3 linked regions of the Macaca mulatta genome follow. The protein of the gene in region 2 interacts with the protein of the main gene of each other region in a biochemical or structural test. Links are inferred from orthologs where the notes say so. Each region holds a gene or a part of one and is shown on either strand. Other genes may lie near its edges.

What was found. The genes of interacting proteins can lie anywhere in the genome.
Region 1: of the proteins of CHUK (region 2) and MAP3K14, one has a biochemical effect on the other in vitro, tested with the Homo sapiens proteins (5 studies listed by BioGRID and IntAct, with this or other methods). The link is inferred for Macaca mulatta from reciprocal best matches to the Homo sapiens genes CHUK and MAP3K14.
Region 3: of the proteins of CHUK (region 2) and NFKBIB, one has a biochemical effect on the other in vitro, tested with the Homo sapiens proteins (2 studies listed by BioGRID). The link is inferred for Macaca mulatta from reciprocal best matches to the Homo sapiens genes CHUK and NFKBIB.

The regions. Positions count from the first base shown.
Region 1 is NC_133421.1:69,686,571-69,696,787, forward strand, and holds the start of MAP3K14 (mitogen-activated protein kinase kinase kinase 14), read right to left. Parts: upstream 5,174-10,217; 5' UTR 5,090-5,173; intron 1-5,089.
Region 2 is NC_133414.1:112,264,218-112,273,939, reverse strand, and holds part of CHUK (inhibitor of nuclear factor kappa-B kinase subunit alpha), read left to right. Parts: intron 1-302; coding exon 303-417; intron 418-1,101; coding exon 1,102-1,171; intron 1,172-2,928; coding exon 2,929-3,017; intron 3,018-4,260; coding exon 4,261-4,350; intron 4,351-4,487; coding exon 4,488-4,612; intron 4,613-4,796; coding exon 4,797-4,904; intron 4,905-5,492; coding exon 5,493-5,628; intron 5,629-9,722.
Region 3 is NC_133424.1:49,990,650-50,000,863, reverse strand, and holds the start of NFKBIB (NF-kappa-B inhibitor beta), read right to left. Parts: upstream 5,174-10,214; 5' UTR 5,125-5,173; coding exon 4,946-5,124; intron 1-4,945. Other genes in the region: SIRT2 (NAD-dependent protein deacetylase sirtuin-2), read left to right, coding at 5,636-5,651, 6,731-6,777. UniProt on the Homo sapiens protein: Inhibits NF-kappa-B by complexing with and trapping it in the cytoplasm.

The DNA of each region.
Region 1 (10,217 bases), on a different chromosome or scaffold from region 2:
TTCTCTGCTGACTGTCACTGGAAGCAGGCCATTTTCCACCCTCAAGGTGGCTGGACTCAGGAGTCAGTGACACTGCTGATCTGGGCTCTGTGCCCTGTCTACGATCCCCCCTCCGCTGTCAGCCCGCAGGCCCCAGAAGCCTCCTGTTTGCCTCCTGCCCCCAGCCTCCTAGCCCGGGGCTGGGATGAGGGTGATTTGTGGCAGAGGGCTCCTCACAAAGGTCTGCTCAGGACTTTCTCTGCAACTGTGCTGGGGAATAAATCGCCTGTCACCTACACCCCTGCACGAGTGACTCACCTTCCAGAGAAAGTGCTCTGCTCACCTAAGCAAAGCTGCTTGGAAAATGACTAAGGCACCTATCAAATGCACTCTGTGGGGTCAACCAGTTATGGAGCAAGGTCCAGGCACACTCTGCCTCTCACCTCCAGCTTGAAGTCAAGTGCAGAGCTGCCACGCCAGGCCTGCTGGTTTCATTTTCATCTGAACCCAGCTCCACATGAGGCTTGACATCCGGTGATCTATTTTTTCTAAAAACTAGCTTCACTTTAGAAATGACTCTTCGGCCATCAAGTCAGCTTCCCCAAGAGAAAACAAAATGTTATTTAAAGGGAATGGCAGCCTGGTGAGAGCCTATATTTTTGTTTTGTATTAAGGGGAAAAAAGACTTTAAAATATAATATGAAACTGGTTTTTTTTTTTTCCCTTGTGAGATTAAAACAAATGTTTTTCTTTTAAGAGATGGGGTCTCGCTATGTTGCCCATAGCTACTTGACCTCCTGGGCTCAAGTGATCCTCCCGCCTCAGCCTCTCAAGTAGCTGGGACTACAGAAACACACACCACCATTCCAGGCTTCCTGTGAGATTTAAAGGGAAATCTGCAAGTCCCTGACTGCAGATCCTGGGCTCCCAGACACAGTCCTGGAGAGAAGCTGCCAAAGACATCTTTATGAGAGGGAAAGGACGGCGAGCTGGGGATGCCATGTGGTAGCGGGAACCTCACTCCTCAGAACCAAATGTTCCCTCCTAGTCCCCCAGACAAAGAGCAAGTCCTTGCTGACCTACATGCCATACAGTATTTTCCCTTTCCTCACCTCCAGGGTTAATGCAGGAACCTACTTGATCACATGTGGGACGCAGGAAGCCCCTAGACAGGCCCAGCTGTGTCTCCAGCTCAGAGTCAGGATTGTCAACTGGGCAGAGCCTGGACCTTTGTAGGCTTATTTGGAGTATGGTGAGGACAGTATATAGTGTAAGGCAGGGAGAACACGACAGCTGACGCTTTTAGACTGAAGAACTGTCCCCCTAAAAGTCCTACTGAGAAAATGACTCTGGCCTGTCAGGCAGTCTGACTCTTCTTGACATCATCTTACAGAAAACAGGTTTAGTCACAATGCATTAATTGGCAACTACTACTGCTACTATCACTGCTACTATTACTACTACTACTACTGCCACCACCACCAACAGTAACAACAACAGCAACAGTTACAGTCGCTGTATTCTGTGCCGGGCACTGGGCTCAGCACTTTATATATGTCCTCTCATTTTCTACTCAAAACACTCCCGTTAAGTATTTCTGATTCCATTCACAGATGAGGCACCTGATGATTAGAGAAGTGAAGTGATTTGCCTGTGGGCACACAGGCAGGCAGTGGCAGACCTCGACCTGACCCAGGTCTCTCTGACCTGACAGCCTCAGCCACCACATGTGACACGGAGACACCAAGGACTTGTTCTGTTGCTCTGGACAAATCACGGGCTCTCTGCCTTTGTTTCTACATCTGGAAAATGGGCACAAGCACACCTGTCCAGACAGCAGGCTATTCCTCTTTTAGCCTTTTATTAATTAACAATCAATATCAATTAACAATTGACTGGTACAATAAATAAATAAAGCTGCTAGCCTGGTTTCGTTATATTCAAAACTGACATGTTTTGGGGGAGGAAAATCCTTACCGTTTCATGAGCAAGTTAGTAGAAAAAGCAGTGACCTAGATGTCAGGAAAAGGGGGTTTAGATTCTGAGCAATCCTGTCTATTTCTCCTTATGAGGCTTCACTTTTCTGATCTTTGTCCCTGCCCTTCTTCACATGAGCATTGTGTGAAAATAGAAAGACTGGCTATAAAATTATTCTTGATGCCACATAATTTCAAGGGATTTCTATCAGGGAGCTGAGGGATTAAGAGATGTAGAAAAGCAAGAAGGGAAGAGGCTCCTTTAGAACACAAAGAGCACACCGGCCACTGAAGAAAAATGACTTTTTCTGCATTGTCATTCAGGCAGTCATAAGCCTAGAACGAAAAATCTCATACTTCGATGTCCCGCTCAGTTCAACAGAAATGTTCCCCTACAATTTGCCCTGGGTCTCGCCTTCCCCTTCTGGGCTACTGCTTTCAGCATTTTAGCCAGCACCACAGAGTAAATGCAAAACCTTCACACATGCATCACTTTGAATGCCCACCCAGCTCTTGCAGATGTTCCGCCCCATTCTGTTCTCTTACTAGGGAATCGTGGTGTGTGGAGACTAGAGGGGCTGACATCCTTAGAGCTCCCTAAATCCACTGACATGGAATTGTCCCTGGCCCATCAATTTCACACTGGTGCCATCAACAGTGCCCATAATGCTCAGATGTTTCCAGTTTAACTGAAATACTAAAATGGGGCAAACAGGAAGCATCAGACACAACTGCGGTAGTGACTTATTAATCACGAAAGCAGAATTTTAGTTGCATTTTAACCTTTTGCCAGGAAAAAAAAAAAAACAACCTTGAGATGATGGAAGCCATCAGTAGAAATATGCTGCCTGTATGCATATTGGGCTGACTTAGACTTTTTACTTAGGACTGACTTTGCTTTTAAGATTTCTGAACTTTCCCCCCAGAAAGCACATCTGTCAAACCAACCAATATGAATCTGTCAGCTCTTCACAGGGGCAGGCAGGCTTGTTAGGAAAGCCCATGCGCTGTCCATTGAGACAGGAAAAAAAATAGGAAGTTAAAAGTGCCTTCACAGGCCAAAGTGATACAACACTGTTCAGAGGGTGCCAACAACGAAGAAAACAACCTTGGATAAAGCTTTCATCTCTTTCACATCTCCGCAGATCTCTCACCAGACCCTGGCCAGGGATGAGCTGTTATCAATCACCAAAACAAAACAAAACAAAAATCACAACAGTGGCCTAGGGCTGGACAACCAACCAGCGCAAGTCATCTTCTCAGCAGTAAATGATATACACATATTCCAGGCAGATCACAAAGGAGTCAGTGTTCAACAGGAGAACCAAAATGAGGAACCAAACCTTCATCTGTTGAGGCGAAAAGGCCCAACCAGACATTTTTGTTTAATAGAGGGAGACTGATTTGGCAGGGTCTCTGTGGTGCCGCTCCCACAAACCCTTAACAGACAATACCAGTGACAAAAAACCCCCTTCAGAACTGCTCCTTATAATCAGAAAACACTCAGAAGATGGCCTGAAGCTTGGCAGCGTCTTGCTGTCTGATTTCACAAAGAGCTGGTACATACACCTGGGTACTTATCTCTAAAATTAGAGTCAGAGATGATTACTTTTATTTTGAGATCTTCTGAGAGTTCTCCACACCCTTCAAAATAAATGAGGATGTCCGAAAGGTGTCTGAAAAATTCAGAGGTCTGGCATCGCTCCAAAGGAACTGATTGATATCACTTAAAAAACACCAAGAGTAAATCCAAACACAAGCGAAGTAAGGCAAGCACTTTTTACCTGTCCTCTCACACTGACAGCATAAAAACCACACCAAAAACTTCTCCCTCCTGTCTGCATCTCAGTTCTATAATGTGGTCCTGATCTAGGATTCTGGGGAAGACCCATCCTTAGTCCCAGCTATGAGGCATCAGGCAAGATACATACCACTCCCACTCCCCTCATACACACCTGCCTCAGGTGCCTCACTTATAAAACAGGACACTACAATCTGTCTTACCACACAGCCATCTGAAGGAAAACAGAGCTCACAGGTATGAAAACACTAAGTAAAAAACACATCACTAATGTTAAGATACTGTCTCCTTCTAATCTTTCAGAAAGACCATGTTTCTAGTCAAGGGGTTTTCAACATTTTTCCTGGAATAAACTCCAGACTGCTATTTTATACCATGACCTTACCCTGATCATTTAATTTCACGTGCTTTTAGGGTCCTTAGTTAAGTCATTGGTGTTCATTGTCTCCAGTGATCAAGAGTAGTTTTACCATTTACTTTGCTGATGTATGTACCTTTCACCACTTATCCTCTGCCTCATTCATACCTCCAGTCTACCCTTTAGGGCCGAGAGCAACTTTTTAACCTCGACTAGGAAGGAAACACTTTTTCTGAAATTAGCCAGCATTAAGGAGGCTCCCCGGCAGGTGGGAAACTGTACAAGTGGCCCCTGTCTGCCTGGTGCCCGGTGGTTGCAAGATGCCAGGGCCACGATGGGTTTCCAAGATGGGAATATTACATCTGAACCAACAGATAAAGTCCCGAGTTGGAGAGCCTAGAAGAATTACAGAGGAGGACTGGGTTCAGAGGGCGGAGGGGGGATGCTGCGGGCGGCCAGCACTGCCCCGCTGCATGCTGAGGACAGGCTTAGCTCGTGCTCCCCGCCTTGAGGTGTGACCTGAGAACTCCCCAGGAAAGACCACGAGGGTTTCACGCCAGGGCAGATGCGAGGGCGCACTCCTGCAGGAGACACGTCCGCCCCACGCCAGGCGAGCTTCATCCTGGGGGCGCTGGGGCGCAGAGCAGGCGGGCGGGCCTGGCGGCGGCGCGGGGCCCTGGTGAAGGGGAAGCAGGGCGCCCCTGCGCGCGCTCGGAGCCAGCGTGTGGCCAGCAGGAGTGCGCGGCCTGGAGGCCCGGGGCGAGCGCGGCGCCGGCAGCGCGTGCGAGGCCGCGCCCGCGGACCGCCGCGAGTGGGTTGGACGAGGTACGTCGGACTGCGCTGGCCCGGCCGCCAACCCCACTGTTCCGGGGCGAGGGGCCAGGCCGCAGGCCAGCCCGGGGCTGAGGGGCGATCCATCCCAGCCGCTCCCTGGGCGCCTCGTTCCGGGCCCCAGGGTCCCGCCCCGTCACCTACCGGCCAAGCGCCGATCTCCCCAACCAAGCGAGTGTTGCGCTCCGCTCGCCCGCGATCTCCCGCCGCCGGCCGCCGACCGCTGAGCTCCCGGCCCGCGGTCGCCCCGCCCCGGTCCCGGGCTCCGCCCCCTCGCCTTCTCCACCGCCCCCGGGGCCACGCCTCCCCCGGCGGCTGTAACTTTGCCTCGCTTCGCACCTCCCTTCTTTGGCCGCACGGCGACCTGTGGCCCCGCCCATTTCCCCAAGCCAGCCAATGAGACGGCCGTCCCGGCAAGCCCGTCTTCCCGCTCCCTAGCAACGATTGGTTAACGAGGCCTGGTTTCCAGAAATGGGCACTATTTCCGGGCGATGTTTGTAGAGGGGAGATCGCTGGGCGGGCGGACAGAAGGCGGAGGCGACTAGGGTGTTGGTGGAACCACACATGCGCCCTCGGCTTCTGGCAGTCTTACCAGCTGCGTTCTTCTCGAGGTTACTGGAAGGAAGGGCGAGTGTGCGCATGCGTGGGCACTCCCTGCCTCTAACTTCGGTTACCTTGGCGACAGGGAGGCGCTGTCCTTCGTGGGTCGCGCGCGTCCCGCTTCCTCTCTGCTGCCAGGCGGTGGCGGCTGAGGCGGGAGGTGGTGGGGGTAGAGACGTTTTTATTGAGCTCTTATCGTGTGTTTGGTGCTGTAGAATCCCTGGAATGAATAAAGGTTACAGTGCCTGCCCTCGAGAAGCTTCGGGAGCAAAGGGCTTACAGGGGCCCGACCTGTGGGTTGAAACCCAGGTACAAAGAGAGCATGTGGGTGCGTGGCGTGGTATGACCGCTGAGCAAAGCATCTGCTTGACGAGTTTGCAGACCACAGAGCCGGCAAGAGGATGAGAGCTTGATGTATGCAAAGAAAGGACCTGGAGTTCAGAATATGCGTTGAAGTGTCAACAGTGCTTCTTTCAGAATGGGGGTCGGGGGTGGGGAGTAGGGAAGGTATGGACATTTTTTCTAACTTTTGCTCCTCTGTATCATCTAGTGTTTCCACACTGAACTTGTATTTTATTTGTAATAAATTCCAGGCCAGGCACGGTGGCTCACTCCTGTACTCCCAGCGCTTTGGGAGGCTAAGGCAGGAGGATCGCTTGAGGCCAGGAGTTGGAGAACGGCTTGGACAATATAGCGGGGACCTCGTCTCTGCAAAAAATAAAAGAATAACCGGGCTTGGTAGTTCGCACCTGCAGTCCCAGCTAGAGGGGAGGCTGAAAGTTTGAGGTTACAGTGAGCCATGATCGTGCCACTGCACTTCAGCCTGGGTGACAGAGTGAGGCAGTCTTAAAAAAAAAAAAAAAACCAAACTTGATTTATTTGCAAAATAAAAGACGTACTCCTACCCTAGGCATCCCACTTCCACGAAGGGTCCATGATAGGTGTGGTGAGTGGCTCTAGTCTGGGGATAGGCAGGCCCCACCCAAGGCTGTCTTGAAAAGTAAGGAACACTCCATCTCTGAAAGTGTTTGAGCAAAGACCACCATCTGCTTGAGACTACTTTGCAGACAGTCCAAAGCTGAAATCTTCTTTCTGGATATATCTGTGCCAAACAGTCATCTCCGCTGGGGGATAGGGAAGACCATTTATTTAGGCAGTGGTCAAAAACTCACAACCTGAGGGCCTCATCCACTCACCCAGGCCAGAAATATGCTTTGTTTGGCTGGCCCAATATTTTTTTAAATTTGAATTTGAATGCCTTAGAGCAGAGCCTACGATTCCTTACAGCTCCCGCCACTCTGTTTTTTACTCAACCATCTAACCTTGTGTCACCTGTCTGGGCCCTGGAGCATTTGAGGTTGTGGCTCCCACAGAGTCTGTGCTTTAGAGCCAAACAGTCTCTGGTGCCCACCCTGGCTCTGCCACTGACTAGCTGGGAGATGGCAGACAAAAAAGAAGCTGAACTGGTGGCCCCCAAATCTCTTTCCACCCCCAGGGTTTTGCATTTCAGTGACTCAAGGAGAGGCAGAGCTTGGCCAGATGTACAGGTTGGTATCGGCAAACTTGGATGCCCTTATTGTCTTTCCCACCACCTGTTTGCCTCTGGGCACAGCACTTCTCAGGAAAGATGTGGGCACACCTCCAGAGTCTGAGACGCTCCCTGGCTTGCCTTTGCCTTCTCTCTCTTTCACTATTCCTTCTTTAAAACACCCAGTGCCTCTGTACTTTGCCCAGATTCTCTTGACGCCTCTGGTCCTGGGTCCCCTGTACACTCCCACCTACCCTATCAAGATGATCTGTCTTTAAATTCATCCCTGAACACTAATGTGTATTAATCAGAGAGAGTGAACTGTGTTGACTCAAAACTGTTCGGCCAGGGGTGGTGGCTCACTCCTGTAATCCCAGTGCTTTGGGAGGCTGAGGCAGGCAGATCACGAGATCAGGAGATTGAGACCATCCTGGCTAACACGGTGAAACCCTGTCTCTACTGAAAATACAAAAAAATTAGCCGGGCGTGGTGGCGGGCGCCTGTAGTCCCAGCTTCTTGGGAGGTTGAGGCAGGAGAACGGCGTGAAGCCGGGAGGTGGAGCTTGCAGTGAGCGGAGATTCCGCCACTGCACTCCAGCCTGGGCGACAGAGCAAGACTCCGTCTCGAAAAAACAAACAAACAAACAAACAAACAAACAACTGTAACTCTGGAGAGGAAATGTCACATCAGGTTGCAGGAGAGGAACAAGCCACTAAACACTGGTAAGGAAGATATTCGGGATAGGCAAGGCGTCTCAGTTTCAGCTACTTTTCTGAGGTCTTTCCAAGCCCCACTGTGTGTGGGTGAGGTGAGAAACAATACACCCACCCAGAGTGAGCAGTGTGGTGTCTCTGAGTCTTGAAGTGCTTGCACCCTCTGGAAGGAGAGCTTTGGGACAAGATTATTTCCTCCCAGCCTAAGTCGAGACAACCTGGGAAAGCTTCTGGTCTTGAGTCACTTGTGCACCCTCAGCTCTGCTTTAAATACAAGAAATTGACATTTACAGGATGACTCACACCTGGAGTAGTGAACTAGGTTCTCAGTACTCAACAGTTTTCACATCCCATCCATTTCAGTTCTGGAAATAGCGTAAGACTGTGCTATTCCAAAAGAATCGCAGCTTGTTTTCTGATACTTTACAAAAAGTAAGCCCGACAGACTTAGAGTACTTCATGTGCATAACCTCACTGAATGTTCCCTCTAGGCCGGGGTTTCTCAGCCTGGCACCATAGACATTTGGGGTTGGATAATTCACTGTTGGGGGAGGGGGCTTGTATTAGTCCGTTTTCACGCTGCTGATAAAGACATAGCTGAGATGGGGTAATTTATAAAGGAAAGAGGTGTAATGGAGTGACAGTTACACGTGGCTGGGGAGGCCTCACAATCATGGCAGAAGGCAAAAGGCATGTCTTACGTGACAGCAGACAAGAGAGAATGATGAGAGCCAAGCGAAAGGGGAAACCCCTTACAAAACCATCAGATTTCATGAGACTTACGCACTACAATGACAATAGTATGGGAGAAACTGCCCCAGTGATTCAGGTATCTCCCACTGGGTCCCTCGCACAACATGGAATTGTGAGAGCTACAAGATGAGATTTTGTTTTTCTTTTTTGAGATGGAGTCTCCCTGTGTCACCCAGGCTGGAGTGCAGTGGTGCGACCTCAGGTCACTGCATCCTCCTCCTCCTAGGTTCAAGTGATTCTCGTGCCTCAGCCTCCTGAGTAGCTGGGACCATAGATGTGCACCACCATACCCGGCTAATTTTTATATTTTTAGTAGAGATGGGGTTTTGCCATGTCAGCCAGGCAGGTCTTGAACTCAAGTGATCCACCTGCCTCAACCTCCCAAAGTGCTGGAATTACAGGCATGAGCCACTGTGCCTGGTTTCAATATGAGATTTGGGTGGGGCCGTAGCCAAACCACATCAGGGCTGTCTTGTGCATTGGAGGATGTTTAAAAGCTTTCCTGGCCTCTGTCTACTACATACCCATAGCACTCCCTCATCTACCCAATGTGACAACAATAAATGTCTCTGGACATTGCTGGATGTCACCAAGGAAGCAAAATGGCCCCCAGTTGAGAACCCCTACAGTCTAACCTCATAGAATAGGTAGTATTACTGTCCCCATTTCACTGATGAGCAAACTGAAGCTCAGACAGAAGTAAGTTGCCCAGTGTCACTTTGCTGTGACAGGAGACCCAGGATTCAAACCATGTCTGCCTCCAGAGCCCCTGCCCTCCTGCATGCCGGACTCTGCAGAGAGACTTCAGGCTTCAGGGAGCCAGTTGCCCATCAGTTCTGTAGGAGAATGATGAAGAGTGAGTAAATCAGTGAAGGAATGCTATCCTTGGATCATTTTTCCTTTTCTGTTTGCCTTGGAAGAAAGGAAATTATATTCTGGTTTTTATTGCCTTAGTCAGCACGGTTTATGGTGTTGAGCCATGTCCAATGAGAAAGTGGCTGATGAGTCATCTGAATGTCTGTGGATTTCAGGCCCCAGATTACTGTGAGATTCTGAAGTCACACTTGAGAATTCAGATGTGAGGCTGAGATGAGAGATGACTGGGGACTGTGGGGTGGATGTTCCTGGAGGAGAACAGTTTTCATTTCTCTATTGGGACCGCCTAAAGTTGCAGCCACAGTGCTGTTGCTGCCCTCCCCAGCTTGAACCTGCCCCACTGCTGCTGTCAGCTGAGATCTATGGAGGGGCCAGGGAGGCAGGAGAGGAAATGGATAAATGGATGCAGGCAGAAGTGTGATCCATTCTCTCTTCCTATTTTGTGATCAGTGATTCCATATTGGTAGCTTGAAATTGGACATGTTGGGAGTATTTACACCTTGGAAGTTGGCAAACAGTATAAATCAGAACTACCTATCCCTTGAGTTGGTTGTTGAACACCTGCCGGCACACCACGGCATGCTGGTTCTGGCCTCTGCCTGCTGCCCACCAAACCCACCCCACATGGGGAGATGACAAGGGGCACCACGAACCACAGAGCTGCTGGAGAAGAGGAGGGGCTGTGGCGATGTGGGTGAGGGGGAGAGGAGTGCCAGTTTCAGCAAAGAATGGAGGTGAGGGCTGGTGGGGGTCTCTGGAGGGTACTGGGCAAAGATGACCTTACAAGAACAGGTCCTGGGTT
Region 2 (9,722 bases):
GTGAAAGTATTAATAAATCTACCTATATTAGGATTATTGTGACAAGTAATTGAGTTAATATATTTAAAATGCTTACTGCTTGGCACTTAGAAATGTAATAGTAGTAATAGTGATGGTATTTTTATGTATGTTTTCTTTTAAAAAATTCTAATTTTTAATTATACAAATCAGAAATTAGAGTATTATAAATAATACCGATCTTTCCCCCTCTGTTCATCCACCTGCAATTAAGTAGCATTTCAAATCCAGTCCCTTTTTATTGGAAATAAATTTTTTATTGTAATGTTTTTCTTTCTTATTAGGTTGAACCATGCCAACGTTGTAAAGGCCTGTGATGTTCCTGAAGAATTGAATATTTTGATTCATGATGTGCCTCTTCTAGCAATGGAATACTGTTCTGGAGGAGATCTCCGAAAGGTAGTGTGGATGTTTTGAGATGAGAGATAGTAAATCACAAACTTTAGCATTATTTGAATCATATTAAATATAATAAACTAGAATAAGAATCGGAAAAACTATGGTCTGCTTCCTGTTTTGTAAATAGTTTTATTGGAACACAGCCACATTCATTTCTTTACACATTGTCTGTGGCTGCTTTCTTATGACTGCAGAATTGAGTAGTTTAACAGAGGCTATGTGACTTGCAAAACCTAAAGTATTTACCATATGGTTCCTTACAGAAAATGTTTGTTGACTCCTGATTTAGAAAATGCATTTTTGTTGTTGCTGTTTGATGGGACTATAGCAGTGGTATTAGATGAAATTTTCAGTGGTTAAGGTGCTTGTAAAAAGTTGTTTTCTGTATTGCAATCTTTCTTTTTTACCTAATTTTAAATGTGCCCATATGACCATTTATATATATATCCCTGAGATTTGTCAGCCTTTTCCAGTTTCAAGTGCTTTTTGCTTCTTTTTACTTTTATGAGCCTTATCATGAAATTTACATGCCGTCAGTATGGATTTGGTAATTGTATTCCCTTGTATTTTATTATGACTTACTTTCTCATTGAATATTCTCTTAGAGTATAGTAATTAATGTGTGGTCACTATTACAGCCCAGCAATTTCCAGAACACATTTTTAGATTTCTTTCTTTTTTTAGCTGCTCAACAAACCAGAAAATTGTTGTGGACTTAAAGAAAGCCAGATACTTTCTTTACTAAGTGATATAGGTATGTAATCAGTATTAAAATACCATTGTGATGTAATGCCCCTTTGGTCCATAAAAGATTCTGTACCTTTTTGGGAATTCAGGAGAATTGTTGATACACTGTACAAAGTCTATAGAATTTCAGCATCTATAAGAAGTTATCATATAAATCTATTACTGTTGATGCTAAATTAAAACCAGGATATTTTTATATCCTAGGGTGCGGTGGCTCACGCCTGTAATCCCAGCACTTTGGGAGGCTGAGGTGGGCGGATCACGAGGTCAGGAGTCCAAGACCAGCCTGGCCAACATAGTGAAACTCCATCTCTACTAAAAATACAAAATGCCTGTAATCCCAGCACTTTGGGAGGCCAAGGCGGGCAGATCACAAGGTCAGGAGATCGACACCATCCTGGCTAACACAGTGAAACCCCGTCTCTACTAAAAAATCCAAAAAATTAGCTGGGTGTGTTGCGGGCGCCTGTAGTCCCAGCTATTTGGGAGGCTGAGGCAGGAGAATGGCGTGAACCCAGGAGGCAGAGCTTGCAATGAGCCGAGATCACGCCACTGCACTCCAGCCTAGGCGACAGAGCGAGACTCCGTCTCAAAAAAATAAAAAGAAAAATAGAAAAATTAGCTGGGCATGATGCCACATGCCTGTAGTCGCAGCTACTCGGGAGGCTGAGGCAGGAGAATTGCTTGAACCCAGGAGGTGGAGGTTGCAGTGAGCCGAGATTGGGCCACTGCACTCCGGCTTGGGCAACAGAGTGAGACTTTTGTCACACACACACACACACACACACACACACACACACACACACACAAACTAGGATATTTTATTTATTTTTGGCTAGGAGTCCTTTTTTAATCTAATAGGTGTTCCAATAGCTGACAAAAAAATCATGCAAAATGACCTTACTCAATTTCACTCCTCCCACACCATTGACATAGTAATTTTTTTTACAGTGGAATTGCATCTCCTTGAGAGATGGGTCCTCAAATCAACTCTTTTTTGTTTGTTTTGAGACGGAGTCTAGCCCTGTCACCCAGGCTAGAGTGCAGTGGTACGATCTCAGCTCACTGCAAGCTCTGCCTCCCAGGTTCAAGTGATTCTCCTGCCTCAGCCTCCTGAGTAGCTGGGATTACAGGCGCCCGCCACCATGCCTGGCTAATTTTTGTATTTTTAACAGAGACTGGGTTTCACTGTGTTGGCCTGGCTAGTCTCAAACTCCTGACCTCATGATCCGCCCGCCTCGGCCTCCCAAAGTGCTGGGATTGCAAGCGTGAGCCACCGCGCCCGGCCAAGTCAACTCTTGGGGTGAAAAATCTCTGCTTAATCAGAATGACTCCAGAAAAATTCCTAAAATAACCAGTACCTAACCTTTTGGAGGAACCTCAAAAACCAAAAATTTGTTTCCGCGTAGATTTTGGTTTTGCCTCTTTTCCAAGGTCATGAGAGCTAAAGTCCAATTTAAATGGTTGATTTAGGTGGGAGAAGGGGGCTTATTAGAATTACAGGGATTTTCCCAATTGCTTGTTGCATTTCTATTTAATGTTAATTCTAATGAGTTAGATGAACATATAGTATAATTTTGTAGTATTTGCTTAATGTTACGTTTTTCTGTGAAGAAAACCTGAACTACTGTAATATTAGTTGTGTAGTTACGATGATCCATATAAACTTGAGCATCAGAGCAGATTTGTACAAAATGTGAGGTGAATTTTTCTTTTAACTCAATGCTTTCTGTTACTTCAAAGTGTATTTTAAACTTTATTTAGGGTCTGGGATTCGATATTTGCATGAAAACAAAATTATACATCGAGATCTAAAACCTGAAAACATAGTTCTTCAGGACGTTGGTGGAAAGGTAGGTGAAACCTGAAGTAATGTTTCATGCCTATTGAATATAGTCTGTCTGATATAGTTAGTCCTTGAGCTTTGGTGTCTTTGCTGTATGCCCGTAACACTCTTACTTTTTCCATTTCAGACCTTACCACACTGAACTGTAGTTTTGTGTTTAGTTTTTTGTCCCTTCTGCTAAACAGTGGTTCCATTAAAGAAGGAACTGCACCTGTCTTTTTTTTCTTTTTCTTTTTCTTTTTCTTTTTTTTCATACTTAACGCAGCTCCTAGACTTCACCTGTCTTGTTCATGTCTGTTTTTCCAGCATAGTATCTAGCAAAGATACTGGCAGTGAATACATAATATGTTAACACTTACTATTTTATTCTTATGAAGCACATCCAAAACACATACACACACATCCTGGGTTCACTTTAAGAAAAAAAGAAAGTATGTATATTTTTAAAACTTATTTTCCTTCCCCCAATTTAGATGAGTTATCTGGAGAAGAACCAGAAATTGTGAATTGACTCTTAAAATGTTCATTTAATTAGTAACTTTTAAGCAGTTTTCTTGTTTCCAGCGTCCAAATTTCATTCCAGTAAAGACTTAAAAGCCAAGAGTCTGCGCCTTGGGTTGAGTTGTGTGTGCTGTCTTTTCAGGTAGTGAAGATAGTTGTTGGTCTCGTGGGGGTGTTGGAACCTTCGTGATGCTTCTTCTCTTAGGAGCCTTTCGTGTATGCTTGGCACCAAATATCTCTGCTTTTTTTTTTTTTTTTTTTTTTTTATCCAAAGACTTCAGGACATTCTTGAAGTTAGATCTCAGTATTTACTCACATTTAATCCACTCTAAGGGGGTATGATGCTTCTTCAAGTTTGGAAGTCAGCCTTGCCTTTACTTTCCAGTTTAATGGATCGAGCTTATTTTGAATATAGCAAAATAAAAATTAATAGCCCACCTGTATTTAATTTTTATCGTGTACCAAGCACTGTATTACCTTCTTTACTTTCATTATTTCATTGGATCCTAATAACAATTCTGTGAGGTAGGGACTGTTAGTCGTCCAATTAGATTACTGAGAGAGGTTAAATAACTTGGTAGATCACACACCTAGTTAAGTGGTGGCACTCAGACTTGAAATATTTTTGTGATATTACAGAGCCTAAGCTCCTCACCACCACCCTCTCTATAGCCTTATAAGGATATTGTTGTCTTTCCTTTTTAAATTTCTCTACCATTTAATACTTAATCTGTCTTATTATTTTTCAGATAATACATAAAATAATTGATCTGGGATATGCCAAAGATGTTGATCAAGGAAGTCTGTGTACATCTTTTGTGGGAACACTGCAGTATCTGGTGAGGCCTGTATTGTTTCTTTGAATTTAAATGTGTGTAGGATTCTCTTATTTCTGAAGATCATGAATATAGTAGTTCAAAAATAAAGTAGTTTTTCCCATACAGTGTTGGTGTTTAAAACATTTTCTCTTTTGAAGGCCCCAGAGCTCTTTGAGAATAAGCCTTACACAGCCACTGTTGATTATTGGAGCTTTGGGACCATGGTATTTGAATGTATTGCTGGATATAGGCCTTTTTTGCATCATCTGCAGCCATTTACCTGGTAAGAAATGGATGAGAACTTGGGCATGCTTAATGGGAATGGAAATATTTTCATTTGTCTGCTTTTTTTTTTTCTTTGTTTAATTGCCTTTGAAATATACAATTGAATATAATTAAATGGCAAGAAATCTTAAGAGTATTTGTGAGAATCACTTTGTCAGCTGAGGTAGCTTTTGATTTTATAGGCATGAGAAGATTAAGAAGAAGGATCCAAAGTGTATATTTGCATGTGAAGAGATGTCAGGAGAAGTTCGGTTTAGTAGCCATTTACCTCAACCAAATAGCCTTTGTAGGTAAGTATATTTTAGTTAAGGAAGTTTGCCTCAGTTTCTCCAGGGTTGTAAAGGAACAGTAGAGTAGTTTTCTGTTTCAAGTTGCATTATCCAGTAGAACTTTCTGTGATGATGTAGAAACCTTCTGTATCTCTGTTCGCCACATGAGGCTATTGACTCCTTGACGGGTAGCTAGTTTGTTTAGGTAACTGAATTTTGAATAAATACTAAATGTAAATAGCCATTTGGGACTGACTAGTGGCTACCATATCGGACAGCACAGATCTAGTGGAAACAAGAACTGCCATTTAACTGATTGACATAGGTCCTAAGAAGGTTCTTCGGATAATGAAGGAAATGGGTTCTTTGCAGAATGGATTTGGACTCATCCGTTGGAGTTGTCAGTAACTAACGTGGAGTTTTGAGTAGTTTTTGATGGAAAAAAGTTTGTTCCCTGTCATTTCATGAATTTGAAAGTAAGTTATGAAATGGTATAGACAAGTGATGTGGGAAAGAAAGTGGACAACCTACAAAATTACCTTTCTAACAGTATAAAGGGAAATTGGAACATAATGATTTGCTTTTCACCCTATTTTGTATGTTTTCTAGTTTAATAGTAGAACCCATGGAAAACTGGCTACAGTTGATGTTGAATTGGGACCCTCAGCAGAGAGGAGGACCTGTTGACCTTACTTTGAAGCAGCCAAGATGTTTTGTACTAATGGATCACATTTTGAATTTGAAGGTTAGTCTTAATGGGTCTACTGCATAAGACCAGCATTGAAATTAACAAGTTTATTTGGAAAGTTAGCATAAATATAGTTTAATAATCTTTTCCTGTTGCTTACTTATTTATTTATTTTGAGACAGGGTCTCGCTCTGTCACCTAGGCTGGAGTGCGGTGGCACGTTTTAAGCCCACTGCAACTTTCACCTCCCAGGTTCAAGCAATTCTTTTGCCTCAGCCTCCCAAGTAGCTGGGACTACAGGTGCATGCCACCACACCCAGCTAATTTTTGTATATTTAGTAGAGATAGGGTTTCACCACCTTGTCCAGGCTGGTCTTGAACTCCTGACTTCAGGTGATCCGCCCGCCTTGGCCTTCCAAAGTGGGATTACAGGCGTGAGCCACTGCGTCCAGCGCTGATGCGTATTTGAAAAAAGAAAATTATATTCTTAGAGCTGATTTTTAAAAAAAATTTCTTTAGCAAGCTGTCTCAGTTTGCTTCTCTGTGGTCTTTGTTGATTACTCCTTTGAAGCAACTTTTTAATTTACCTTTTCCCATGTTGTTGCCATTATCCTCATTCATTTATGTCTAGTCATACTGGATTTGATTTGGTAAGGAAGGTTCCTATCTGCCTTTCATGGTTCTGCACTTACTCCCTAACCTATAGTTAATTCAATATGTACTACCTATCTCATCTTCTGAAAATGCTTTTTTATTCTTCTGCCCAAGAAACTAACATAGTTCTTCTTTTTTTTTTTTTTTTTTTTTTTTTCACAAGTCAAGTGTAAACTGATCTGCTTGGCTTTTTTAGGGGGCTTTCCCTAACCAAGTTTTGCCTTGTACCTGCCTCTCTTAACCTTTACCTCATACAAGACCAGCTTGTCACTGCTCCTTATACCTCAAACCCATTATCTACCTTTATGCTTTGACAGATGCTATCCTTCTGCCTAGTATGATATCCATTTCTATCTCCTCACCTACACTGGCATGTCTTCAAGAACTTTTCTTTAAATGGTCTCTGCCACACAATTTGTCATTTAAAGGTTATATTCTCTATTTCTCATCTTCCATTCATGCATCTTCATATAGATTGTTTTCTTCTTCAATGTTGGGATTGTTTTACTACTTTTATTAACAACCACCCACCCTACCCATCCTAACCATGGCAGTCAGTACAGAGCAGGGCATGTATCAGGTTCTTAGTAAATTATTTATTGATATGAATGAGAGCTATAGATAGTTCTGTTGGGCAGTGTACCCAGAAACAACTCTCATAATAGTCTTCACATTTTTATTGATAGTTTATAGTATACAGGTTTCTAAAATTGAAATGAGAAATTATAATCATTTAATGTTGGAGTACATGGCGAGATAGTTCACTTTAGTCTGGAACTCCTGAACTCACGTGATCCTCCTGCCTCAGCCTCCAGAGTAAATGGGACTGCAGGTGTGCGCCAGCTCTCCTGCCTAATTTTTAAATTTTTGGTAGAAATGGGGTCTCGCTGTGTTGTCCAGGCTGGTTTTGAACTCCTGGCCTCAAGTGATCCTCCTACGTTGACTTCCCAAAGTGCTGGGATTACAGATGTGAGCCACCGTGCCCGATCTTGGCATACTTTATTAAATAGAAACTTGAGGCCATGTGGATGTCATTCTTGGCTAACACTGAAAAGATACCTAGCTTCTTCTTGATTTGGTTTCTTTCTACTGTGCCAAAGAATAAATTATCCCTTAGTGCGTTAGGAAAGCAGGGCTTTAGTTCTATGTTGCCTCTGAAACATTTCGGTTGTGAATGAATCACATCTCTTATTTGTTTCATACTCATCATAGGAATTATAGCATCATTTCTGCTTTGAAGGGCATCTGTGAGCCTCTTGTTATAGGGCATGGGGAAAGATTCCACATTATGGAGTTTGTAGTTTACAGACTTAAATTCAGTTTGCAGCACCACTATTTACCTGTCTGTGAACCTGAGCAAATGTTGTCTGTCTATCTCAAGGACAGTAATATCTTCCTCAAAGAACCAATATTATTATGAGGTTATACAGAATAAGGTATATATAAGGTACTAGTTATAGTAGTTCAAGAAACTTCAAGGATGCTTGTTAGACATGATAATAAGACTGAATTTTGAAGAATGAGATTTTTTAGGAAAAGGGTGGGGGTGGGATAGATTTATAGGCAGCAGAGCATCATGAGCAAAAGTACAGAAGTATGAACTACAAAACAGCTTGGTGTTACTGTAGAACATTTTCCTAAAATGTTTATATGTATTGTACAAGAAAGGAATGATGTCTGTTTGATTTTCACTTAAAAAAGGAAGCAACAAAACAGTTACTATTTCCCTTTTGAAAAAACAGCTTAGCAAGTCTGATTGTATGCATATTTTTCAACTGTTTATTATGAAAATCTTTAAATATGTTGAAGAGTTGGAAAAAGTGTACTGAACCTACCACTAAAAATAATGGTGAAACAGCAACATTTAATTATTTTTTTCTTTGCCTCCTCTTTCATGCCCCTAAATGTAACTGTATTCTGAGTCTCTTCTTGGTTCTTTTTCCATTACATTTCCTTTTTTTTATTAGGCAGTTTCTTCAGCTGTATAGCTTTACCTATAAACTGCACATGGATAACTCCTAAAGTTATTTCTCTCCATAGCTTAGACGTTTCCACCAAGGACTTATAACTGTCGTATAACTGTATAACTATCTGGTTGTTCCACTAGCACTTAAGACTTAATTTATTAAAAACTGAACATATTTGTTCTATCCATTAAATTTACTTCTTTTTTTTTGTTTGTTTTTGAGATAGAGCCTCACTGTGTCTCACGATCTCAGCTCACTGCAACCTACACCTCCTGGGTTCAAGCGATTCTCCTGCCTCAGCCTCCTGAGTAGCTGGGATTACAGGCGCCCGCCGCCATGTCTGGCTGATTTTTATATTTTTAGTAGAGATGGGGTTTCACCATGTTGGCCAGGCTGGTCTTGACACCCTGACCTCAGGTGATCTTCCCACCTTGGCCTTCCAAAGTGCTGGGATTACAGGCATGAGCCACTGCACCTGGCCCCATTAAATCTACCTCTGTAGATTTCCTACACCTCTTATTTGCACTGTCACCTTTTCAGTTACCCAGATGGGAAACTTTGGCTGTCTTGGCTCTTCCTTTCTCTTCAATCGATATATCCAATTATTTTATAAAGTTATCTTTTGAATATCTTAATAATTTTGAGCTTGCCAGGTTCTCAATTTAGAAAGGCTTGCATAGTTCTCTTTCACTTATTGAATAAAGTTCAGACCCTTTCATTGGTACTCAGAACCTATCTTGGTTTCATATCAATTTATACTTCCGGACTTACCTCTTACTAATACCCCGAGAGAGCATCATTTTAGGTACATTTGAACTGGATTAACTGTATTGTCTGATTATGCCCATCCCTTTCTACTTTTCTGCTTCTGCTCGCCTTGTTTTCTGCCTAAAGGAACTTATTTTTCAGTCCTTTCCCATTTCAGTCTTTCTTTCATTTCAAAGTTTAGCTCAAGTAGTGCCTCCTTTATGAAGTGCCCGCTTCCTACTGCCAAGTGTATGATACTTTACGCTGATTATAACACCTATCACATTTTGCCTGGTACTTTAGTTCTCTTAGTATATCTTAATACCTTCTGTTTGACTATAACTGTTTGGAGGGCAAGGATCATCAGGTACTCAGTTTGTATACCCACTACTACCACCACAACACATTTAATATTATGTACCAACAGTATGTACCTACCAATAGTAGGTACTCATTAAATATTAGTGAACAAAAAGATAAATTTAGGTTGTATTTCCTCTTTTTTCTTTTGCTCCCTTCTGGCCTGGAGCTTTGGTAGTGGGATGCCATGATGACATATCCTAATATCCTGTGTAAAAGTAGATGTCCATTATAGGATTTTTCATCCTAAGTTTCTGCTGTTGCTATAAATGGCAGCTGTCATAGTGTGAAATATGCCTAAACTGGGAAGGCATGGAAAGTCTCAGGTAGTATAATTGTATTGTAAATCCATATCAGTTTTGAAGATTTCCCTACTCCCCTTTTAAGCATAAAAGATTTATATTAAAGAGAAGTCTCTTAATA
Region 3 (10,214 bases), on a different chromosome or scaffold from region 2:
TGGCTCACACCTGTAATCCCAGCACTTTGGGAGGCTGAGACAGATGGATCACTTGAGGTCAGGAGTTTGAGACCAACCTGGCCAACACGATGAGACCCTGTCTCTACAAAAAACACACAAAAAATTAGCCAGGCATGGTGGCACGTGCCTGTAATCCCAGCTACTCAGGAGGCTGAGGCAGGACAATCACTTGAACCGGAGAGGTGGAGCTTGCAGTGAGCCGAGATCGTGCTACTGCACTCCAGCCTGGGCGACAGAGTGAGACTCCGTCTCAAATAATAATAATAAAATAAAATAAAGTTCTTTTACTCTATGTGGAATGGCATAATTTCACTTTAAGGTAGCCCATGATAACTTAAAGTTGTAAACTATCAACCCTACAGCAGGAATCAGCAAATTTTTTCTGTAAGGAGCCAGATAACTATTTTAGTCTATAAGTCAATAGTTTCTCTTTCTGTTTTTTGTTTGTTTGTTTGTTTCTGTTTTTGTTTTGTTTTTTTGAGATGGAGTCTCGCTCTGCTGCCCAGGCTGAAGTGCAGTGGCGTGATCTTGGCTCACTGTAACCTCCGCCTCCTGGGTTCAAGCGATTCTCCTGCTTCCCAATTAGCTGGGACTACAGGCGCCTGCCACCATGCCCGGCTAATTGTTTGCATTTTTAGTAGAGACAGGGTTTCACCGTGTTAGCCAGGATGGTCTCGATCTCCTGACCTCGTGATCTGCCCGCCTCGGCCTCCCAATGTGCTGGGATTACAGGCGTCAGCCACTAAGCCCAGCAGTCATATGGTTTATTTTGACTACTCGACTCTGCTGTGTCAGTATGTAAATGAATGAGCTTGCTTGCATTCCAAAAGAACTTTATTTATGGAGCTTGAAATATGAATTTTATATATTTTCACTTGCCATATAACATTATCCTTCTTTTGATTTTTAGAAACTGTTTAAAAATGTAAAGACCATTCTTAGCTCATAACCATACAAAAGCAGATGGCTGGCTAGATTTTGCCTGGAGGCCATAGTTTGCCAACCCCCACCTTAAAGCAACCACTAACATAACAAAAAGAGGAATATCCAATAAGCAAACAAAAAAAAAAATGAAAAACACTATTCAGAAGGAGCAGGATTGAAAAAAAGTAACAAAAACTATACCCAATAAAAGGCAAAAAGGAGGAAAAAGAAAACATAGATAAATAGAATATATATAATAGAAATGGGATAAATTTACACAATCATATCAATATCAAATTAAATGTAAATGGTCTAAACACTAATTAAAAGGCAGAGACTGGCTGGGCACAGTGGTTCATCCTTGTATCCAGCGCTTTGGGAGACCAAGGTGGGAAGATTGCTTGAGCTCAAGAGTTTAAGACCACGGCTGCACACAGCGGCTCACACCTGTAATCCCAGCACTCTGAGAGGCCACAGCGGGTGGATCACCTGAGGTCAGAAGTTCGAGACCAGCCTGGCCAACATGGTGAAACTGCTGTTGCTACTAAAAATACAAAAATTAGCCAGGTGTGGTGGCACACGCCTGTAATCCCAAATTTAGGAGGCTGAGGCAGTAGAACTGCTTGAACCCCGGAGGCAGAGGTTTCAGCGAGCAGAGACAGTGCCACTACACTCTAGCCTGGGTGACAGAATGAGACCGTGTCTCAAAAAAAAAAAAAAAAAAAAAAGAGTTTGAGAACACAGGGGGACCCTGTCTCTACAAAAAAATTTAAAAGTTTGCCAGGCATGGTGGCATGTGCCTGTGGTCCTAGCTACTCAGGAGGCTGAGGTGCAAGGATCACTTGAGCCAGGAGGTCATGGCTACAGTAGGCCATGATCATGCCACTGCACTCCAGCCTGGGTGACAGAGCAAGACCTTGCCTCAAAAAAAAAAAAAGGGTAGAGATTGTTAGATTGAATAAAAAAGCAAAGGCCAGGGGTGGTGGCTCATGCCTATAATCCTAGCACTTTAGGAGGCTGAGGCAGGTGGATTGCTTGAGCCCAGGCATTCAAGATAAGCCTGGGCAACATAGCAAGATCCTGTCTCTATTAAAAAGAAAGCAAAACCCAATTATACATGGTCTACAAGAAACACCCTTTAGATATAAATAAATTACCCAGACATGGTGGAGCAAACCTGTAGTCCTAGCTACTTGGGAGGCTGGGGTAGGGGGATGGCTTGGTAGGAGTTCAAGACTGCAGTAAGCCATGATTGAGACACTGTATCCAGCCTAGGTAAGACCCTGTCAATAGGCAGGCAGGCAGGCAGGCAGGCAGGTAGGTAGGTAGATAGATAGACAGAGATAGACAGAGATAGATAGAGATAGAGAGAGAGAGAGAGAGAGAGACAGATGATAGATAGATAGACAGACAGACAGAAATACAAATATTTTTAGGCCGGGTGTGGTGGCTCACACCTGTAATCCCACCACGTTGGGAGGCCGAGGTGGGTGGATCACTTTAAGTCAGGAGTTCCAGACCAGCCTGGCCAACATGGTGAAATCCCATCTCTGCTAAAAGCACAAAAATTAGCCGGATGTGGTGGTGCATGCCTGTAATCCCTGCTACGCGGAAGGCTGAAACATGAGAATTGCTTGAACCTGGGAGGCAGAGGTTGCAGCAAGCTGAGATCATTCCACTGTACTACAGCTTTGGTGACAGAGCAAGACTCCAGTCTCAAAAAAAAAAGAAAAAGAAAAAAAATACTGAATTAGGCCGGGTGTGGTGGCTCATGCCTGTAATCCCAGCACTTTGGGAGGCCAAGGTGGGCAGATCATTTGAGGTAAGGAGTTTGAGACCAGCCTGGCCAACATGGTGAAACCCTGTCTCTACCAAAAAAATTACAAAACTTATCCGGGGGTGGTGGCACCCCCCTGTAATCCCAACTACTCGGGAGGCTGAGGCAAGAGAATCACTTGAACCCAGGAGGACAAGGTTGCAGTGAACGGAAACTGTGCCACTGCACTCCAGCCTGGGGAACAGAGTGGACTCCAACTCAAAAAAATAATAAAGCATACTGAATTAAATGAAAATAAAAACACAACATACCAGAATTTGAGAGATATTGCTAAAACAATATTGCTAAACAATAGTCAGGAGCAAATTTATAGCACTCAATACCTATACTGGAAAAGAGGAAAAAAGAAAGGTCTCAAATCAATGATCTCAACTTTCACCTTAAGAAACTACAAAAAGAAGAACAAATTAAAGCCAAAGTAAGCAGAAGAATGAACATAATAAAAGTCAGAACAGCCTGGCATGGTGGCTCATGCCTGCAATCCCAGCACTTTGGGAGGCTGAGGCAGGCAGATCACGGGGTCAGGAGTTTGAGACCAGCCTGGCCAACATGGTGAAACCCCATCTCTACTAAAAACACAAAAATTAGCCAGGCATGGTGGTGGGCACCTGTAATCCCAGCTACTGGGGAGGTTGAGGCAGGAGAATTGCTTGAACCCAGGAGATGGAGGTTGCAGTGAGTCAACATGGTGCCACTGCACTCCAGCCTGGGCGACAGAGTGAAACTCCATTTCAAAAAACAAAACAAAACAAAACAAAAAAACCGGCCGGGCGCGGTGGCTCAAGCCTGTAATCCCAGCACTTTGGGAGGCCGAGATGGCGGATCACGAGGTCAGGAGATCGAAACCATCCTGGCTAACACAGTGAAACCCTGTCTCTACTAAAAAAAAAAAAAACTAGCCAGGCGAGGTGGCGGGCACCTGTAGTCCCAGCTACTCGGGAGGCTGAGGCAGGAGAATGGCTTAAACCCGGCAGGCGGAGCTTGCAGTGAGCTGAGATCCGGCCACTGCACTCCAGCCTGGGCGACAGAGCGAGACTCTGTCTCAAAAAAAAAGCCAGGACAGAGACTAATTATATAAAAAGTAAAAAAAAAAAAAAAAAAAAAAGAAACCAAAATTAAGTAATGAAATGTAATGAAAATTAACAAGATTATAAAGCTGGTTCTTTGAAAAGATAAATATTTCTTCAGTGCCTCCTGGGTCAGGCACTGCTTGCATCACTGGGCATACAGCAGAAAACACAACAGACAAAAAACCCAGTACAGTCCCTCATCTGGGCTTTGCAACTGCAGTTCCTTCTCCCTGAAATGCTCTTATCCTGTTTATCTATTGCCTCATTTTCCTGCTTTATTTTTCTCCAAAGTACTTACTACCTCTGACTTTATTTCCTTCTCTTACTTTCTATGTTTCTTTCTTTCTGCGTGTCTTTCTTTGTTTCTTCCTGTCTTTCTGTTTCTTTCCTTCCTTGCGGTCTTATCTGTTTATTTAGTTCCACTAAAATGTATGCTCCACAAGCGCTTAAGTTTTTGTCTGTTTTCTCCACTGCCTTTATCACTAGCACCTAAAACGGAGCCTGGAATGTTGTACTGTGTAAAGAATATTTGTTTAACAGATGGATCCTTGGTCTCGTGGAGCTTACATTCTTTTTTTCTATTTTCCTTTTTTTTTTTTTTTTACTTTAATTAGGAATTCAACATAGAAGAGCTTACATTCTCTCTCTTTGAATTTAAGATTTGAAGAACACTGCTCAGATGACAGGATCTTAGAGTAAGGGACCAAGCATTAATTTTGGAAATCAAACTTTAAGGCTCAAATCAGGAACTAAGAATCAAAGATCATATTTGGAGGTTAGAAGTCAGGAGAAGCCACAGTTCTAACAAAAGTCTCAGGACTGGAGTCAGGTTTGGGTATCAGTGGATACAACGTGGATTCCAGGAGCTGAGAATCATAGTTCAGGAAAAGGTCAGAAATGATTGGGTGAGGATCATAGCTGGAAAGAAGATTGGTTTTGTTAAAAGTTAGGACTCGGGGGTTAGAGGTCAGGAAGTTCAGCATCGGAAGTCAGATTTAGGAGTGTGAGGTTAGGAAGCCTCAGGGATCAGACACTAATGGGGAATCAGATGCCGGGTCCTAAGGCTCCGTTTGGCAGCCTAAAGTTCACTCACGTGTCCCCATCCTCAGTGACGTAGCCGAAGACGAGGGGAGCCCACGACAGCCCCGGGCCCAGCTCCGCGCCCAATCCCGGTCCTCCGGGGGCCGCTGCGTCCGGACCCAGGGAGCCGAGGCCGCTGTCGCACCATTCATCTGCGTCGGCAGCTTTTCCCAAGCACGCGACCCCAGCCATGGCCCCCGCCACCTCAGGGGCCCCTCGCAGTGGCCCGCCTGTAGCTGGGCTTTGCCGGGAGTTCTGGCGCTTCCGCCCTGCGGGAAATTCCCCACCACGCCCCCTGATTCATCCAATGATAATATGCTGAATCGCTCACACCCCGCCCCCGTGCCGCATGCTGACCAATCAGAGTATTCGAGAGGACTACGACTCTCTAGCCGTTCCCACATTTTCCGGGCGCCCTTTACCAACATGGCTGCTGACGCCATGACTTCTGGGACTCGTAGTCCGGTCCTCGCGCGCTTTCTTACCTAACTGGGGCGCTCCGGGTGTCGTAGGAAAGCGCGTCTGCGGCCGCAATGTCTGCTGGGAGTTGTAGTTCAGTGCCCTATCCCGGCCACTCCCATTTCTGGTGCCGTCACGGGACAGAGCAGTCGGTGACAGGACAGAGCCGTCGGTGACGGGACACAGTGGTCGGTGACGGGACAGAGCGGTCGGTGACAGCCTCGAGGGCTTCAGCACCGCGCCCATGGCAGAGCCGGACCGTGAGTCGGGAATCCGGGTGGGAGGGTCGGGCCGCGCCGGGGCCTGATTGAAGGCTGCAGGCCCCGGGGCCCAAGGGCGGCCGCAGTGGGGCGGGAAGTAGGGAGCGCCTCGGGGAGTGGGGTTCTGAGGGTTGTTGCTAAGCGATCTATATCGCCAGGCTGGTGGGTTTCTGGGTCGCAGGGTGTTCAGGGTTCGTTTACCACATCCACTTGCCAAGTTGCCAATGATCGCGTGTTTCTCACACCTTGGTTGCTAAGGACCCTCGCTGCAAAGAACATAAGTTGCCCCGGTCCCGGCTGCTAAGGGTACCTGATTGTTAGAGGCAACCAGAGGATGCTGAGGGACCCCTGCTGTCCCCTTCTATGGCTTCCCCTTGTTCCGCGCCTCTCCTAAACCTACCGCCTCCACTGCACCACTGCACCTCCCTCCTAAACCTGCCTCCCAGCCAAAGCGTCCCTTCCCTTCTCTCTTCCTTTCTAAACTTCCCTCTGCCTTGTAAATCTAACCCTTCCCGCACACACACTGACACACTGTCGTGTCCTTCCTAACTCCTCCTGAGTGTTCCTTCATGCCCTGAATCCCTTAGGTAGGAGGAGGAGGATCGCTTGAGCCCAGGAGTTTGAGGCTGCAGTGAGCTATGATCGCACCATTGCACTCCAGCCTGGGTGACATGAGCGAGACCCTTTCTCTAAAAAGTAAAAAAGAAAGAAAGTAAGTCAGGGCCAGACACAATGGCTCATGCTTGTAACCCCAGTACTTTGAGAGGCCAAGGTGGTTGGATCGCTTGAGCCCAGGAGTTCAAGATCAGCCTGGGCAAAAGCCCCTACTTTCTCCCTCTCCTTCTAAATCTTCCTCTCCAGCCTCTCTGCCCCTCACTAATCACCTCTCCTGGCATCACTTTGCATGCTGATAAGATTTTTTCTCCGCCCCCTCCCTCCCCGTGCTCCATTTTTACCACCATCCCATCCCAGTGTAACTCGGTTGGTGGGTGTTCTGGCCCCTCACTGACCATTTGAATCCCTTTATTCCCCACTTAATCATTCTCCCCACTGTAACCACCTCTGCTCCCCTCCCTCAGCCTCTCACCCTCTGGAGACCCAGGCAGGGAAGGTGCAGGAGGCTCAGGTGAGATGGGCGAAAGGGTGGAGGGGAGGAGAGAGATGGACTTGTTCCACAGCCCGCAGGGGGGGAGGTGGCAAAGGGGAGACAGTCACCCCACGGCCCTCGGCTCATTGCCCCAATCCCTCACACCACCCAGTGCAGCTTTCTGGGGAAAGGCGGATTCTGGGGATTGTCAGAGAAGCGTTTCCAGCCTCAAGTCCAGGCCTGCCCTCCCAAACTTTCCTCCTTCCTCGCCACTGCCTGCCATCCCTTCTGAACCAAATTTGTCCTGGGCCTGGAAGAGACAGGTATCCCATTTGGTCTTGGAACGCACAGATCTCGTGGACAAGTGATGGGAAAAAATTATCTCACAGTGTGATGATAAAAGTAACTCAGGGGGCCAGGTGCAGTGGCTTATGCCCGTAATTCCAATAACTCAGGAGGCTGAGGCGTGAGGATCGCTTGAGCCCAGGAGTTTGAGGCTGCAGTGAGCTATGATTGCATCGTTGCACTCCAGGGTAAAACAGCAAGACCCTTTCTCTAAAAAGTAAAAAAGAAAGAAAGTAACTCAGGCCAGACACAGTGGCTCATGCTTGTAATACCAGTACTTTGGGAGGCTGAGGTAGGAGGATCGCTTGAGCCTAGAAGTTCCAGACCAGTCTGGGCAACGTAGGGAGGCCCCAAAAAATCTAAAAGTTAGCCATGTGCAGTGGTACATGCCTGTAGTGCCAGCTACTCATGAGGCTGAGTTGGGGAAGGATTGCTTAAGCCCAGGAGTTTAAGGCCGTAGCATGCCATGATTGTGCCACTGCTCTCCAGCCTGGGCGACAGAGCAAGACACGGTCTCAAAAAAAAAAAAAAAAAAAAAAAAAGGAAGAAAAGTAAAGAAACTCAGGGCACTGTGGGAGCACAGAGAAAAACTTTCTGGGTCAAAGAAGATTCCAGCCAGGCCATTCCCTGGAGGAATCCACAGGCTGGTCTAGCTGTCAGACCAAGATACAGACACAGTATAAGTGAAGAGTGACTTAGAATTTTCTTAGACAAGGTGAGAAAAGGTGATCCACACGACAGGTATCGCTTGTGCAAAGACCTGGGGGCATGAAGGAGTGTGATGTGTTCCGTAACTGGGTGGCTGGTAGGGGTCAGCTCGTTATAGTCACGGTTAACATTTACTGATGGCTTACTCCAGCTGTGCACACTGTTTAGTGCCAAACTTGCCTCATCTCACTTCATCTTCCTGGCATCCCTGTGAAGAGAAATGCCTATCATGGCCATTTTACAGAGGCAGAATTTGAAACAGAGGTGTTAAGTCACTTGTCCCCTGTCCCTCGGCTAGAGGAGCAGGGAAAGGTTTGAGTCCCCCAGCACTGGGCACACCGCCTGCCAGAGGCTGCCAGGAGAGGTGGACAGGCAGTCTCACAGGAGTTTGAAGGCCCCCCATCAGCACCTCCAGCTCTCCCTTAGGCCAAGCTGCCGATACATGCTGGGCACAGGCCTTCCACACAGCCTCACTCTGTACAGCCTGCAAGAGTGCCAGCCCACCCACACCCCCAAGATTGCCTGTCAGACGTGGGGTGGTGCAGAAGCGGGCATCAGAATACCTCACAAATGCACAGTGGAGCCTTGCTGAGGATATAAGAGCCTCCTGTTAGGCTGTGGCAACTCACTCGCCTGGCCCCCAAAGCACGACCAACGTCAGATAAAAAGGTTGAATGTTAAAAAGGATCCTCAGTCCCAAAGAGAGAGATGCGAGGATGTAAAATGCAGCATTGTCCGTCACAGGGCAAAACTGGAGACAGTCCAAATGGCTGTTAGTGGATGGGTTAAATGAACTATGGTTCATCCATACAATCCAATACTATGTAGCTGCTCTGAAAAATGAGGTGAGGCTGGGCACGGTGGCTCACACCTGTAATCCCAGCACTTTGGGAGGCAGGAGGATCACTTGAGCCCAGGAGTTCGAGACCAGCCTGGGCGACATAGCAAAATGCCGTCTCTTTTTTAAAAATTATCTTTAAAATTAGGTAGGTCTGTAGCATATCGTTCTGCAGAAAACTCAAGATGTTGTACTATGACCTATTTCTGTAGAAATAATTAGTTTTATGCAGAGGAAACTGGAGTAATTACCATTAAGCTTAGCTAACAGTGGTTATCTTTATAAGGGTGGGCTTGGGTAATTACAAGGCATGTGCCCCAAGTCATATGTTGTTGAAGTACGCGCGAGTGTGGTCAAGGTTTTTGCAGAGGTTGTCCAATCTCTCTCTCTCTCTCTCTCTCTCTCTCTCATTTTCACTCTCTTTTTTCTCTCTCTCTTTTTTTGAGACGGAGTCTCACTCTGTCACCAGGCTGGAGTGCAGTGGCGCCATCTTGGCTTACTTCAACCTCCGCCTCCCGGGTTCAAGCAATTGTCCTGCCTCAGCCTCCTGAGTAACTGGGACTACAGGCGCCTGCCACCACGCCTGGCTAATTTTTTGTATTTTAGTAGAGATGGGGTTTCACCGTGTTGGCCAGGATGGTCTCGATCTCCTGACCTCGTGATCCACCCGCCTCAGCCTCCCAAAGTGCTGGGATTACAGGCCTGAGCCACCACGCTCGGCCTCTCTCTCTCTTTTTAGATAGAGACAAAGTCTCACTGTGTTGCTCAGGCTGGTCTTGAACTCCTGGCCTCAAGCAATCTTCCTGCCTCAGCCTCCCAAAGTGTTGGGATTACAGGCATGAGCCACCACGCCCATCTGGAGTTGCACAGTCTTAAAAAGCAATTTTTTAAATTGTCATATGTTTGGAAAGGAGGGTCTTATTCAAAAAGGCTTGGACGCAGAGCAGTGAGTGGCCGGGGAAGGGGTTGTCTGAGGTGGTGGCTTGGTCAGAACTGCATTTTGGTGAAATCTCTTGCAGGGCCCAGCCGTGGTCCAGCCTGAAGCAGGCATTCATTCCGAGGTGGAGGAGCTCCTGGAGCTCCTGCCAGGAGCCAGACCCTGTTCTCAGTGCTGGGCACCCAGGCAAAGTCCCTGCCCTTGTGGACATCCTGGCAATTCCATAGATGTCCGGGAAAACTGGAGAAGCCAGAGAGAAGGGCCTTTCAAGTGGAGCGGGGCGAGCTGACCCAGACAGCCTCACATGCAGGGCAGCAGGGTGAATGGGAGGTGGAGATTGAGGCTGAGAGGCTGGGGGAGGAGGCTGGGGCAGGACCCCTGGAGGAGAGGACAGGCTGGACCAGGTGGAGCCCCGGGGAGGGAAAAGGAGTTGGCGGACAGCCCCTTAGGAGACTAAGCGTACGTGCTCTGGACCTGAAGCACTGCAGCCGGAGGGTGAGGAGGGAGGCGGGGGCAGGAAACATCTGGCTGACTGGGGGACAGGACGATCACGTTGAGATGAGGCCTGGGAGGAAGATGGGTTTGGGGGAGATGCCAGGATCCGTTTGGGACATGGTAGGAGTGAGAGGCTGGGGGGCACCTAGGGCA